Danio rerio: one gene and its partner. Each later gene encodes a partner of the first gene's protein in a complex. Links are inferred from orthologs where the notes say so. Each region holds a gene or a part of one and is shown on either strand. Other genes may lie near its edges.

What was found. The genes of interacting proteins can lie anywhere in the genome.
Region 2: the proteins of naa25 (region 1) and naa20 are in contact, whole or in part, in a cryo-EM structure (PDB 7STX), measured with the Homo sapiens proteins. The link is inferred for Danio rerio from reciprocal best matches to the Homo sapiens genes NAA25 and NAA20. Residues at the interface, in NP_079229.2 of Homo sapiens: Ser226, Glu227, Ile228, Asn259, Asp261, Asp262, Trp263, Gln264, Arg318, Arg321, Leu325, Lys362, Pro363, Cys364, Thr367, Asp368, Val371, Leu457, Thr459, Glu460, Leu461, Ser504, Ala506, Leu510, Leu532, Asp533, Lys535, His536, Ile537, Gln538; in NP_057184.1 of Homo sapiens: Thr2, Thr3, Leu4, Arg5, Thr8, Cys9, Asp10, Leu12, Phe13, Phe15, Asn16, Asn19, Leu20, Pro22, Leu23, Thr26, Tyr27, Gly28, Ile29, Pro30, Leu33, Gln34, Leu36, Ala37, His38, Pro40, Glu41, Pro49, Glu52, Met54.

The regions. Positions count from the first base shown.
Region 1 is NC_133185.1:3,867,268-3,875,049, forward strand, and holds the start of naa25 (N-alpha-acetyltransferase 25, NatB auxiliary subunit), read right to left. Parts: upstream 4,833-7,782; 5' UTR 4,799-4,832; coding exon 4,741-4,798; intron 1-4,740. UniProt on the Homo sapiens protein: Non-catalytic subunit of the NatB complex which catalyzes acetylation of the N-terminal methionine residues of peptides beginning with Met-Asp, Met-Glu, Met-Asn and Met-Gln. May play a role in normal cell-cycle progression.
Region 2 is NC_133195.1:52,307,472-52,315,112, reverse strand, and holds the start of naa20 (N-alpha-acetyltransferase 20), read left to right. Parts: upstream 1-3,095; 5' UTR 3,096-3,123; coding exon 3,124-3,176; intron 3,177-4,733; coding exon 4,734-4,758; intron 4,759-4,880; coding exon 4,881-4,971; intron 4,972-6,227; coding exon 6,228-6,363; intron 6,364-7,641. Other genes in the region: CD109 antigen, read right to left, coding at 773-843. UniProt on the Homo sapiens protein: Catalytic subunit of the NatB complex which catalyzes acetylation of the N-terminal methionine residues of peptides beginning with Met-Asp, Met-Glu, Met-Asn and Met-Gln. Proteins with cell cycle functions are overrepresented in the pool of NatB substrates.

The sequences.
Region 1 (7,782 bases):
GGAATTTTTCAAAAACTCAGAAATACACACTGGGCAAATGTACTACTCTTTCATTGTGTTTGGGGCTGTTTCTGCCCATTGACTTCCATTATAGCCACATTGTTTTATTGCACAACATGACACTATATAGTCATACATTCTGGATTGTTCCTGGTTTTTCCTGTTTGGGGTCAAATTTGTTCTTTTGAGAGTGCAAAAAAAAGCTTAGTTTGTGGCTTTTATATGGAGTAATGTGTGGGAGTGTAAGAGACCTTTGCACATATACCTTGATATGTTTGAGAAAATACCCTCAGCTCTCAGAACACAGTAAACAAAGTGTATTTAAGCAGAAACAGTATAATCTGCTGTTTTAATCTATATAACTCTACATAAAAGTCAGAAACTTTTTTTGCACAGGCCTATCTAAAGGGTCTAAATGAAGCCAACTAATAATCAACAGTAAAAATGGCAAATTATACCTATTCCCAAGAGGGAAAACCAGCAACAATCAGGAATGTATGATTATTTGGCCTCATGGCTTTGCAATCAAAAATGTGATAATGAAAGTCAATTGGACAAAAACAGCCCCTAACATAATGAAGGGGTAGTCAATTTGAACAGTATACAAGCGTTAAAAAAGTGAAGTGTTCATTAAACCAGCACTGTTTAACACATTGAATGAAATAAAAAATAAATAAACTGAACAATAAACTGAACTGAAAATGGTTTATTTTTGGGTAACTTGTACATCCTATGATGCTAATCCAAAATTAAAGGTATAAAAGCACTGGCAAAGAGGACCAAATGCTTGCAGACACTCAGACGCACAACACAGAGCTCGGACTGTGAGAACGTTCTCTCACCAAATGCTCAATCCAATTCTGAGCGCAGGAACCCCCTCCCTCCTGTCCCAAAAGTCTCTGCTAAAAGAACACAGGACTGTGTCTCATGACAGCTGGATCCCAAAATTAACCAGGCCAGACAGTAGATGCTGAATTTCTGCAAGAGAACAGTTCTGTGTCTCTGTCCAGTAATACATCTAACTAGCATTGTTCCTTCTGTTCAATCACCCACACAGAAACACAGTCTGACTCCAAGCACAAAGCACCAAAATAAAGGTCAGTGATCTGTTGATTGTTATGGATTGGCTAGCGTGGCAGTGAGTCGCTGATATGACCAAAAATAATATAATAACAGTTTGGATCTATTCAAAATGAAACATAGTATTTTTTATAATTTCTATATTATATAATAAATAATAATATAATTGATTGATTCTAGGGTTGTAACAATATACCGGTATGACGTTTTACCACGATTTGAACGTGCACGATTATCATACCATGAACAATTGCATATCAACGGTTTTAACCCTTAAAGACCGAGACAGCCGCCCGCGGCTAAAAATAAGTATTGCTCTTAAATGTTTAATAACTTTTGATCCGCTGATCCGATTCATACAATTCAAAGATTGGCATAAAGAAGAGAATCTCAGCTTTCCAGTGCTGCATCACATAACATTCGCGGACTTTCAGAGGCTCCGGAATCAGTGCGGTTACGTCATCAACATTTGACAACGCTGATTTGACAAAGAAACACTCGTCACTGTGTCTCCGGACAAATCAGACATGATACATTGATGCATTGTCCCTCCTCCATGCCCAGATTGGTTCAAACTCGCTATATCACAACCAATAAGCATAGGTTTCACTTTTGTTTGTGGACCAAGCTTTTTGAACAACACGGAATGAGAGAAAGGCATATATTTATGCACGGCTAAATAAAACGCAAAAAAAAAAAAGTTTTGCATGAAATAATTCTCATACTAAGTACTTTTGCATGCACAGCAGCACAGAAACATGACAAAACAGTGACACAGCTAAGACGAACTGCTGCTCTTGCTGTTTTCAAAAGACGCAAATGAAGATGCAGCTGTTTGTCTGCATTGCATACAACCATATCCAAATCCATATCCACAGACAACCATATCCATGCTGGCACATAAAACCTAAGGATGCTCCATATTGAATCTAGTTTCGTTATGTAACTATTTATAGTATAGTAAATATTTATATCTATTTTTTACTGAGGATTTGCACCATGTTTATTTGGACTTTATTTGGACTTTGACACATTATTTATTATTTTCTTATTTTTTAATTGTTCATTGTAAGTGGTGTTGTTTATAGTAACTAAAAATATATTATTTGGAAAAAGTCAAATTTGCTTCACTGTTCTATTATTTTGTAACATTTGTAACATACCGTATACCGCGAAACCGTCAAACCGTGGTATTGTTTTAGACGATTATCATACCGTGAAAAATTCATACCGTTACAACCCTAATTGATTCATTCATTCATTCTCTACTGCTTTTCCAGGGCTGGGTCGTGTGGGCAGCAGTCTTAGGAGAGAACCCCAGACTTCCCTCTCCCCAGACACTTCCTCCAGCTCCTCTGGAAGGATCGAGGCGTTCCCAGGCCAGCCCAGAGACATAGTCCCTACACCGTGTCCTGGGTCTTCCCCGAGGCCTCCTCCATTTGGGACATGCCTAGAACAGCTCCCTAGGTAGGCGTTCAGGAGGCATCCAAAACAAATGCCAAAGCCACCTCAGCTGACATCTATCGATGTGAGGCGCAGCGGCTCTACTCCAAGCTCCTACCGAGTGACAGAGCTCCTCACCTTATCCATTAAGGTGAACCCCACGAAGGAAACTCATTTTGGCCGCTTGTATCCAAGATCTTGTCCTTTCAGTCATGACGCAAAGCTCATGACAATAGGTGAGTGTAGGAACGTAGATATAATTTAATTTGAAGAAGATATATTATGCAAAAATAACTTCTATAAAAAGATTTAAACACAGACAAGTGGCCCCAGAGTGTAAATATAGCCAGCCTCTAATGCTGCGTTCCCTCCAGATGCGGATGATTTACATGTTAAGTCACTGCTAAGACGAGAATAGACATCCTGCGGCAAGTTTTTGCGCGAATAAGGCGACGCAAATGACGTGACTACGCACGAGTTGAGCTTTTAGTGCGTTCAACAATCTGGTCAAGCTGGAACATTTTAACTTCAGCTGACATTTGCACCACGTTAACCAATCAGGAGCTTGCTCTTGTAGGGGCGTGATTATGATGTAGCGCCTGTTGTTGGTGTCATGAAGAGAAATCCTCTATCCGACAACGGACAACAGCTCATCAAACTGGGCTCGGCTCAGTTTGAATCACCGCTGAAAGCCTTCATCATCCAGGTATAGTTTCTAGAGGAGTTGATGAACTGGGTGCACCTCTGAAAGGATTTAGTTGATCAGACCGGAAATGGGCGTTAATAGTGTCATAATGCAAGTACGCTTTTCCAAATAACACATCATATTTCATCCTTTATAATATTTCATTTAATTATAGTCATTTTAACAATTACATAATGAGGCATTGAAATCCGATTGTGAAAATGGATATCCTAAACAAATAAATAGTAATAATAATAATAATAATGATAATAATAATAGATGTTAAAAATGTCCAAGGTAAAAAGAACTAGAAAAAAGTAACCGATCTATTTTCAGTCATCAGGCACCCACATGAAAGCGTACTATAGTAATTTATAGCAAATACTATAGTGCTTTTTTTATCCATATTGACTCTGACACCTCCGATAGAGATAGAGAGGTTGTGCAACCAGCTAAAATGTGGCTAGAATTGGTTTTTATGTATGGCCGATATATATTGCATCACCAAAATCGATTGAGGTCATGTCCACGTGTTGTGCGATAAATCGATATAAGGATTATTGTGACAGGTCTAGTTAAACATATCAAATGAGGTAAAGTTAATTTTATATTCACACATTCAGACGTTCTCTTCAATAATATAATTTCAGAAAAGCATTGTTTGCTTATTCTAAATAGTAAAAATCATATTATCTAAATACAAAATGATTCACAGTCAAATAAATAGTGCTAATGTTGTTTTGAAGTCCTACTTGCATGTGATTTCAGACCTAATATTTAAAGTATCATGGTAAACAATATAGGTCACAAGTTGTCACTGAATGAATGTGCGAATATAAAACCAACTTTACCTCAATCAAATATCAGTGGTGTAACTCTAGGCAATGTTAAGACTAAGATTTGAAGCATTTAAAAAGTTATTAAAATGGCCTTTCAGCACTCATATTGAGAACATATCCCAAATTTAGACGGCATAGTTCACAAAGAGGCTTAAAAATAAGCTCTAGTACAGAATCAGCAGGTTCATCTCAGCTCATTTAGACATAAAGTGCAGCTTTATGAATCTGTAACATAATTACAAAGGTTATACTAACCTAAACATATCTAAAGGCATGCAAAGCACAAGTCTCGCAGTCTACAAGCATAACAACACAGAAAGAACATGAAATATTAAAGCACAAAAGGCTCATATGTGGCAGTTAATCTCTTTGACATCTCTCACAGGTTAGGAGCTGGATCATCAGATGACATTGTCACTTATGTCCGGATATTTAAAGCGCATTTCTGTGATAAAGGGGCTAAACGCAAAGGTGTTTTGCATCGATATAAGGGTCAGACTGTGACCGCATAAAGACGCACTGTCATAGGGCACCGCAGCCGAACTGAGACCGCGGCTTCAGCTCCACAGGCCTCACCGGCTCTCCACAGCTCCTGCAGCCATTTGATAAACACAACAACGCACTGGTCGGTCTTGCAACACTAGCGAGACCAGCAGGGTCTCCATCAGCCCCACGGTGCGGTTTTTATCTTACCGTAGATAGGTCGTAGCCTCCTGTCGTTAGGGTCTTGCACATGGCCCCTCGCCGCCATGATGGAGCTGAGCAGGATTAATTGATGCGCATGCGCAGAGCGAGCACTCCGGAAAGACTTTAAACGGGAACCTGGGAGTCATGCGTGTCGTTCAGTGTCACTGTAAAAGACACATCTCCCGATGTATTCTGCTTTATGTTTATGGTTCAGACAAGTCATTATCAGACATTGTGAATATTGTTTTCCTAATTGCTAAATATTACAAACACTGCTGTATGCAGGAAGACTCTCCTCCATGCTTTGAACATTTCCGGAACGAACTTAACCGTTGTGTCGAGTTGGGGATGTTTTCATCCACTCTGTCGCGATTTTGAGGCTTAATTTGGCCACAGCTCTCTCTGTTTCAGCTAGCAGAATGATCTTTGGTTACAAATCTTATTTTGACACATATTTTAAGAAAATGCTTTGAAATAATAATAATGAAAAAAAAAAACTCAACGATACTCTCTGGGCAAATTACTACCTTTTTGTTATAGGGATGGAAACATCCACCGAATTAAACTTGTAAAAATGCATCAGATAAATAATTTATTTTATAAATGTTGTTAATCAACCTCAGTCCTGATCAAAACTACTAATCTGCTAAGAAAAATACAGGATTTTACCTATTTAATTGTCAAATTCATAAATGATGTCACTGATTTGGTGAAAAAACACACACAAAATTACGTATTTTCAAAATAAAAGTAATTGAGGACTGGATTTGTTTTTACCTGCATAGTCTACCAATCATCACAAATACTGCAGAAGACCTACAGGAGCCTGCATGGACCCAAGATTCTCACAAAAATCAGTCAAGTTTGGTGAAGGAAAAATCATGGTTTGGAGTTACATTCAGTATGGAGGCGTGTGAGAGATCTGCAGAGTGGATGGCAACATCAACAGCCTGGGGTATCAAGACATTTGTGCAGCCCATTACATTACAAACCAAAGAGAGGGCGAATACTTCAGCAGGATAGCGCTCCTTTTCATACTTCAGCCTCCACATCAAATCTCCTGAAAGCAAAGAAGGTCAAGGTGCTCCAGGATTGGCCAGCCCAGTCACTAGACATGAACATTATTAAGCATGTCTGGGGTAAGATGAAGGAAGAGGCATTGAAGATGAATCCAAAGGATCCTGATGAACTCTGGGAGTCGTGCAGGAACGCTTTCTTTGCCATTCCAGATGACTTTATTAATCAGTGAGTCATTGCAGAGATGTATGGATGCAGTCCTCCAAGCTCATGATGGAGTCAGACACAATATTCATTCTGTCTCCACTGCAGCAGGACTTTATATTCTATACTGGACATTATTTCTGTTCAGTGATGAGACTTTAGTCTAAGCAAAGTCAGACCTTACTGTCCTAATGAAATCATTAAAAATCAAGGCATGATCATGTTATATTCTGATAAAATAAGTGTAATCTAGAGGCCTTTGCCTTTCATATAAGCCACTTCTGATACCAAATGATCAACTAGAAGTCAAGTTATTCTTTTGTTCTACCTAAAACTTGAATAGGCAATAATAATAACAATACATTTTATTTAAAGGCACCTTTCTGGCAACTCAATGACACCGTACAATAAATCAAGAGCAATAAAACAACGAGAAATAATAAAAATATACACAGGAATGGACCAGATAAAATTAAATATTAACAGCCATCTTAAATAAGTGGGTTTTGAGTCTTGATTTGAATAGTGTGAGGGAGTCAATGCTTCTAGTGGCAGGTGGTAGTGAGTTCCAAAGCCGGGAAGAAGAGCAGCTGAATGCTCTGTTGCCCATAGACGAGCAGAGAGAGGAAGAAGATTGCAGGTTGTGAGAAGGAACAGGAACGTGGATGAGGGCAGACAAATATAGAAGGGCGAGATTGTGGATGGTTTTGAGTGTTAACATCGAAATTTTTAAATCAATTCGAAAATAAACAGGTCACCAATGAAGCTGCTGCAGGACAGGGGTGATGTGATGAGAAGAAGGGGTTCTGGTGATGATACAGGCAGCTGAGTTCTGGGACAACTGAAGCTTATGGAGGGATGTAAGAGTGAGACTAAAGGGAACGAGACGTGAAACGAGACGTGACAAGGCTATGGACGAGAACAGCTGTAGCGTGAGGGGTAAGAGAAGGAGGAGACGGGAAATGTTGCGTATGAAGTAAGCAGACCGGGTGATGTTATTGATGTGAGAATCAAAAAATAGCATGCTATCAAGGATGACACCCAGACTCTTAACCTGTTCAGAGGGATAAATGAAACAGTCATCAACAAGACTTTTGTCAGGTAGTGTAGGTGTATTTTACAGGTAAGTATTTAGATGTATTTTACATTTACATTTAGCAGATGCTTTTATCCAAAGCGACTTACAAATGAGGACAAGGAAGAAATTTACACAACTATAAGAGCAACAATGAATAAGTGCTGTAGGCAAGTTTCAGGTGTGTAAAGTGTAAGAAGGAAAGCGTTATTAATTTTTTTTTTTTGTGTAGTTAGTGGAGGAGTCAGAGAGGAAGTTGCATATTAGTAAGGAAAGTGGAGACTAAATAGTTGAGTTTTTAGTCGTTTCTTGAAGACAGCGAGTGACTCTGCCGTTCTGATGTAGTTAGGGAGTTCATTCCACCAACTGGGCAGATTGAATGCGAGAGTTCGGGAAAGCGTTTTCTTCCCTCTTTGGGATGGAACCACGAGGCGACGTTCATTCACAGAGCGTAAGTTTCTGGAGGGCACATACATCTGCAGAAGTGAGAGCAGATAAGAAGGAGCAAAACCAGAAGTTGCTTTGTAAGCAAACATCAGAGCTTTGAATTTGATGCGAGCAGCAACTGGCAGCCAGTGCAAATGGATGAGCAGCGGAGTGACATGTGCTCTTTTAGGTTCATTAAAGACCACTCGTGCTGCTGCGTTCTGAAGCAGCTGAAGAGGTTTGATAGAGTTTGCTGGGAGCCCGGCTAGTAGAGAGATGCAGTAATCCAGTTTGGAGAGAACAAGAGCTTGAACAAGGAGTTGTTC
Region 2 (7,641 bases), on another chromosome or scaffold:
AAATTAAAATAATAATAATTCTTCACACCAAAAAAGAGAAAGTAAATCTTTTAAAAGAAAATGCTAATTTTAATTCAAACAAAAAAAAACATATTCTTTCATACCACCACTGCAAATTTAGAGCATAATTGAAGTTTGATTGAGGGTTACGTGTAATAATGCTTTTTAATAATCACCCTTAAAACACAGAAATTCAGTTGAAGTCAGAATTATTAGCCCTCCTGTTAACCTTGAATTCTTTTATATTTTGCCCAAGTTGTTCACAGAGATTTCTTCAACACATTTCTAAACATAATAGTTTTAATAGCTCATTTCAAATAACTGATTTATTTTATCTTTGCCATGATGACTAAGACTAAGACTATGACTAAGATATTACTATAAGTATTCAGCTTAAAGTGACATTTAAAGACTTAACTACTGTAGGTTAATTAGGCAAATTAGGGTAAATAGGCAAGTTTTTGTAAAGCGATGGCTTGTTCTGTACACTATCAAAAAATATATATTGCTTAAGGGGGCTAATAATTTTGACCTTGACTAAAATTGACCTTTAAATGGTGTTTAAAAAATTTAAAACTGCTTTTGGTCTAGCCAAAATAAAACAAATAAGACTTTCTCCAGAAGAAATATTATTATCAGAAATACTGTAAAATGTCCTTGCTCTGTTAAACATCATTTGGGAAATATTTGAAAAAAATAAAAGAAAGTCTATTAATTTTTACTTCGACTGTATGTAACTTTAATAAAATAAATTAATAAAAAAGTATCAAACCTTGATGTAACCATCGCTCCTCTGCAGACCAGTGAACACACCAGGATCCCAAAGAACTGAAGCCACTCCATTTTCAGGTGCTAGTCTCCAGTGAAAGAGTTTACTAAAGTACCGAGACCCGTAGAACGCTTTTAAAAGTGAGACTCAACACCTGATCCTGCATTACTCCACCTACTGTACACACCTGAGGGAATAACAGCACATTCACCGCACATATAAAACACACTTACATAACACCACAGAGAGCTGACAGAGAGTTCACCTTAAACTCTGTCATCATTTACTCTTTTCCTCTTCATTCATTATTGAGTTGTCATGTTATTAGAGCTTATTGGTCAAAAGTTGTTACTTTTATGAGCCGCATGTTTGGACTTCTTCAACAGTTGGATCCAATGTCTTTGGGTTGCTCAGTGGTTAGCACTGTCACCTCACAGCAAAAAGGTCACTGGTTCAAGTCCTGCATGGCAAGATTCTGGCAATAATGCAGTTTTGGTTTTAATGGATCTGCGCTCTGCTTTTGATACAGTCGACTCGATCATACCATACTCCTTTCACGTCTGGAACATTGGGTGGGCATAAAGGGTTCAGCACTTCATTGGTTTCAGTCATATCTGAAATCCAGGTCTTTTTCAGTTTCTGTTGGCCAATTTATGTCAACATCTGCCAATCTTCTGTGTGGTGTCCCCCAGGGCTCTATTCTGGGTCCAATGCTCTTCAATTTATATATGCTTTCTCTTGGTAATATTAAAAGGATATATAACATCTTTTTTCATTATTATGCAGATGACTCCCAGCAGTATGTTCTTTTAAAATCTCAGAACTCCCAGCAGTCTCGAATTGATTGTCTTCAGCATATTAATTGTTGGATGGCAAAAGACACTAATTAATAATGACAAAACGTCCTTAAACTTAATAATGACAAAAGTGAAGTTATTCTCTTCGGCCCCTCAAAAACAAGAATGTCTTATATAGTGGGCTTGGGAAGTCTTACACCATATGTTAAATCGCAAGTAAAAAATCTAGAAGTTATCTTTGATTCAGAGCTTTGTCTAGAAAACAAATTTGCTCAGTCGTTAAGAATAGTTACTATAAGCTGAGGATCATCTCCAGACTCAAATCCATTCTTTCCTTTTAAGATCTGGAAAAGTCATACATGCTTTTATCAAGTCCCGCCTAGACTATTGCAATTTCTTTTATGTTGGTCTCCCTCAATCTTCATTGGCACGGTTGCAGTTGGTTCAAAATGGGGCAGCTAGACTTTTAACAGGCACCGAAAAACAAGCTCATATCTCACCAGTTTTAGCATCCCTTGACCTCCTGTTAATGTTAGAATTCAGTTCAAGGTTTTACTTACTGTTTTTAAAGCACTGAATGGGCAAGCACCTTATATCTGAACTTATTAACCTACAGTCAACTCCTCTGCCTCTTAGGTCATCAAATAAAATGTTATTGCTAATTCCTTGGTCACTATTCAAACTGGAGATAGAGCCTTTGCAGTCTGGTTTTGGAACCTGCTGCCACCGGACATTACGAGTGCTTCTTCTATCTCTATTTTTAAGTCCAGACTTAAGACACATTTTTATTCAATTGCCTTCCCAGGCTTTTATTATTTTGTGTGCATTGTTGCTGTCATACTATTATTCCTATTATTACTTTTATTGTTATTTTACTGCTTTAGAATATGTGCTATGGTTTTGTTCAGCGCCACACTGAAGTTACTGTAAATGTGCTTCATAAATAAACTTTAGCTACTTACTTACGTTTCAAGATTTAACTGCAAATGTCACATCCATAACACTGGAAAGAAGACAACCCCAAAAAAAGATATTTTGAAGAATGTTGTAAACCTATTTTTCCTACTATGGAGGTCAGTGTTAAAGTTACAGGACATTAGCTTTCTTCAAAAAAAAAATCTTATTTTGTGTTTAAAATAAGTGTGTTTAATATAAACAGAAGAAACTTATAAAGGTTTGAAAGGACTCGAGATTGAGTAAATAGTAAATAAATAATCATTTTTTGAATGAACTGTCCATTTAAGAGGAGACTGATGTGAGGAGTTTTGATAGACAGTAAAATATTTGAAGAAACTAGCATCATGTTTTCTATTTGTGAACTGAAAGTCTTACTAATAGCTTATATTAAATTCTAACTAACTAATAAATAAAGAATTCGTTAAGTATAGAATATTAATTGGTTATAAATGAATAGTTACCTTACATCGAATAAATCGGCCTGTGTTTTTCCTCCATTTAGCCGAATGATGTCGCTGTCCAAACCACCAACAGTAAAACGTACGTGTGACGTAGGGGTGAGAGGTCAGAGCGTCGTCCTGTCCTGCAACACACTGGAAAATGACAACATTACGAGCTTTCACGTGCGATGATCTGTTTAAATTCAACAATATGTGAGTAATTTGATTACTAGTTATATAATCACAATTTCAGAAACGTAACCTACTGTTGTGGCTTGATTACAAAGTGAGGGTGATACGATGTTACTCAGTACGTTACCATGGTATACCCATTAAGCCTTTACTTCGCAATGGTATCACTACAGTTGTTATATTTAAGTTCAAATGACTGTGTTTTGAACTAGTATGTAAATGCTACGCCATCGTACTTACGTGAAAACCATGGTACATGTACATGTCTGGTGGTTTAACGTTACTGTGCACGTATATATTGTTATTACTGATTAATAATGACGATTCAAGTAATGTTCAGCCATATATCTAGTTGTGATATCAGATTTTTGCCTTTATAAATGTTATTAATTGGACGCTTACTATTGTATTTGCCCACATATGACCGTGTACGACAAAATAGTCATAAGTATCACTATATAACTATAACGTTACATACAACTATTCAAATATAGCTTATGAAAATCTGTAATCTGAGGGTTAAAAATAATAAAATAACGAGAAAATAGCCTTTAGATGTGTCTAAATGAAGTGGATAGGAATGCACATTACTAACCAAAACATTTTTGATATTTTTGCAGTAAGAAATATATAAAATGTTAATAATGATTTGATTTTGGCATAAAAGTCAACCATCATGACACATTCAGTGTATTTTTGGCCAATGCCAAAGATAAAACAGCAAATTAGGACTGGTTTTGTGGTCTAGGATCACATACACTCACCGGCCACTTTATTAGGTACACCTTACTAGTACCAGGTTGGACCCTTTTTTGCCTTTAGAACTACCTTAATCCTTCATGGCATAGATTCAACAAGGTACTGGAAATATTCCTCAGAGATTTTGCTACATATTCACGTAGTTGCTGCAGATTTGTCGGCTGCACATCCCTGATGCAAATCTCCCATTTCACCACATCCCAAAGGTGCTCTATTGGCTTGGAGTCTGGTGACTGTGGTGTGGAGGCCATTTGAGTACAGTGAACTCATTGTCATGTTCAGGAAACCAGTCTGAGTTGATTCCTGTTTTATGACATGGCGCGTTATCCTGCTGGAAGTAGCCATCAGAAGACGAGTACACTGTGGTCATAAAAGGATGCACATGGTCAGCAACAGTTCATGTAGACTCTGGCATTGACACGATGCTCAGTTGGTACTAATGGGCACAAATTTGCACTGACAGAACTGCCTCTCACTGGATATTTACACTTTTTTGAACCATTCTCTGTAAACCCAAGAGATTGTTGTGCGTGTAAATCCCTGTAGATTAGCAGTTTATGAAATACTCAGACCAGCTTGTCACCATGCCACATTCAAAGTCACTTAAATCCCCTTTCTTCCCCATTCTGATGCTCGGTTTGAATCATCTTGACCATTTCTACATGCCTAAATGCATTAAGTTGCTGCCATGTGATTGGCTGATTAGACATTTGGGTTAACGAGCAGTTGGACAGGTGTACCTAATAAAGTGGCCGGTAAGTGTGCATCTGAATGAATATGCTAGGCTAATATTTACATTTCTGTATTTTTATCCCACAGTAATCTGGACCCCCTGACAGAAACAGTATCCTTTAAGAAAAACTCACTGACATCTTTGTCTAATTAATCAGTTTGTCACTAATCTAACTAATTGTCTTCCTCTGTATTTTGCATACTTGTCCGTTTTTCTTAACTTTCAATGAACAGTATGGAATTCCCTTCTATCTTCAGTATTTGGCTCATTGGCCGGAGTATTTCATAGTAGCTGAAGCTCCAGGCGGTGAACTGATGGGCTACAGTGAGTGCCTCTTTCTAATTTATTTTAGCTTCAAATAAAAGTGAATAACCAGACATTGATTACTCACCTGTATGTCATTCCACACCTGAAAGTCTGACTTGAGTTTCCTCTGTGAAATAAACACTTTGAAAATGTTTACATGCATAATGCAAAATATATTTTCCAAAACAAATATACTAATTTTATTTTTATTTGAGCCTATCCATTACTCAACTGTGCGGATGGATGATTTGTTGCAGTCAGTGGAAATTAACCACAATCCTCTGTCATATATTTGCTAATTTTTTAATAGGTCATAGTTTTAAAGATTTTTCCTTGAGCTGATTTGCTTTTATTATATTTAGATTTCAAAGCAACTATATTAATATTAAAAAAGAAACGAATTATGGCATAACGAATGCCCTTAAATAATGTATCCTTTGACAGCAAGCATCAGTGTTTCCTAGATTGAAATAAGAATAAGGGATAAGGCAGGACGGTGCTGGATTTTTGCATAATTGGAAATAAAATCCTGCAGGCGCCCCTGGACTTACAAGTTGTGCATTGTGCATAACCAGTTGGCTCATCATTTAAAGTCGTCACTATTAAAGTAGTTGACCAGAAGTTTGTCCTTCCTCTAGCGTTTTTCACAGTTTTAAGTTCGCCATTGGCAATTTTTCTCTTTATGTTCGCTATTGTACGTGGCTGGAAATCTCTATGCGCATGTTTTTTCCTAATGCAGGCCCGATATGCGTGCTAGCTATGACGTGAAAATTGGCTGGAAGCCCAGCCAGAGGGGCATAAAAAAGTCAGGTCCCGTCGGGCTCAAAGGCAGGGCTCTAGATAAAAACACATACACAGGCTAAATTTCAACATGCAGCTCAATAAAAGTAAGCAAATTCTATCTCTTTCCTACAGGGAAAACCAGCAACAATCAATAATGCATCATTATATGGTCTCATGGCTGTGCAATCAAAAAATATCATAATAATGGAAGTCAATAGGGCAAAAACAGCCACAAAAATAACGAAAGGGTAGTTTGCCAGTGTATTGTTGAGGTATTGAAAAATGTCTAAGCATTTTCCCAAATTATATATATCAAAATAAGATTTGTCTGCAAAAATCATTCCATTTGCTGAAACAGAGAAAGTCGTGGACTAATAAAGACTCAAAATCACTCCAGAGTGGATGAAAACATCCTCGACAGCACAATCAAGGGTAAACTTATTGTGAATATTGCTGTATGAATAACCTGTATGTCCATTGTCATCCTGCAGTCATGGGAAAGGCCGAGGGCTCCGTCGCCAGAGAGGAATGGCACGGGCACGTCACTGCCCTCTCTGTGGCCCCAGAGTTCAGACGGCTGGGTCTGGCTGCGAAACTCATGGAGATGTTAGAGGAGATCTCAGAAAGGTGTTGTAGCATTACTCGTTCCAGCTACAAACTTATCTGCTAGATAAAATGCATGTAAAAGAAAGAACACGCTACTGAAAGTGTAACATTCATCAAGCTAAACATGACAACATGCAGTGCTCAGCATAAATGAGTACGTTTCCTTTTAAAAATGAATAGTTTTATCCATTTCTCAGTGAATATAGGCAATATACATGAACATGTTTGATTTTATTAAACAGTTATGTCACCTAACATCTATAGGAATAGAAAGATAATACATTTAAATTCAAATGAAATTGAATCCATTAAAAATAAAAAAAATTATATATATATATATATATATATATATATATATATATATATATATATATATATATATATATATATATATATATGTATATATTTATTAATATTAAGGGTGTCACGATCCTCCAAATCCTCGATTCGATTACATTTTCGATTCTAAAGTCACGATTTGATTCGATTTTCGATTTTGAATAATTAATTAATTAATTAATAACGAATTAATTATTAGTAGCCTACCGTTTAAAATACCTGACTTGCATGGTCTTTGTTTTACCCATAAACAAATCATACAGTAAATGAATAAAGGTAAGTTACACACATAATTACAACCTGTCAATCACTTTTTAATGCGGCACTCGTGATCTGTGTCGTTATAATGGCGTCGGTAAAAAAGTTGCTCAACCAACGGAAACCAGCCAACAGTATCTGAGGTGTTCGCTAAAATGACTAAGTACTTGTGTGAAAGTAAAAGATGGAAGCAGTCTACTGACTCGCAGACTGCCTTGACCCGCTGTCTCGAGCGCATGACAATGTGTGTGCGTCTGTATATGTGTGTGAATGAGTGTGTGTGGTCACGTGATGTGCGTTTTCAGCGGTAGTGAGGAAGGAGGGCTGCTCAGAAATGCTACACGCCAGTGTGGATGTGGATCGTTGTCGTTCTAAAATGCCATTTAAAAACAAAGATATATTAGTGTAATCAGGGCCTGAGTGTGTATTTTTCGCGAGCGGATTTGCAACGGGGGCGGGGTGGAGGATCGCGATGCGCCCATCGTCTATCATCCCAACCGTAATACGTACATAGCAGAGCTTGCAAACTGTGTTTTTTTGTCGACAAAACGAACGTTGTCAACATAACTAACTGGAAATCCAAAAAACTTCCACACCGGCGACTTCATTGAAAGAGGAGAGGGTTTAAGCTCTGTGGTCGGGTCTCCTGCTTCTGCAGTTTAACAAGCACTTCAACAAGCATGTTTTTTTCCCGCTTGGCAA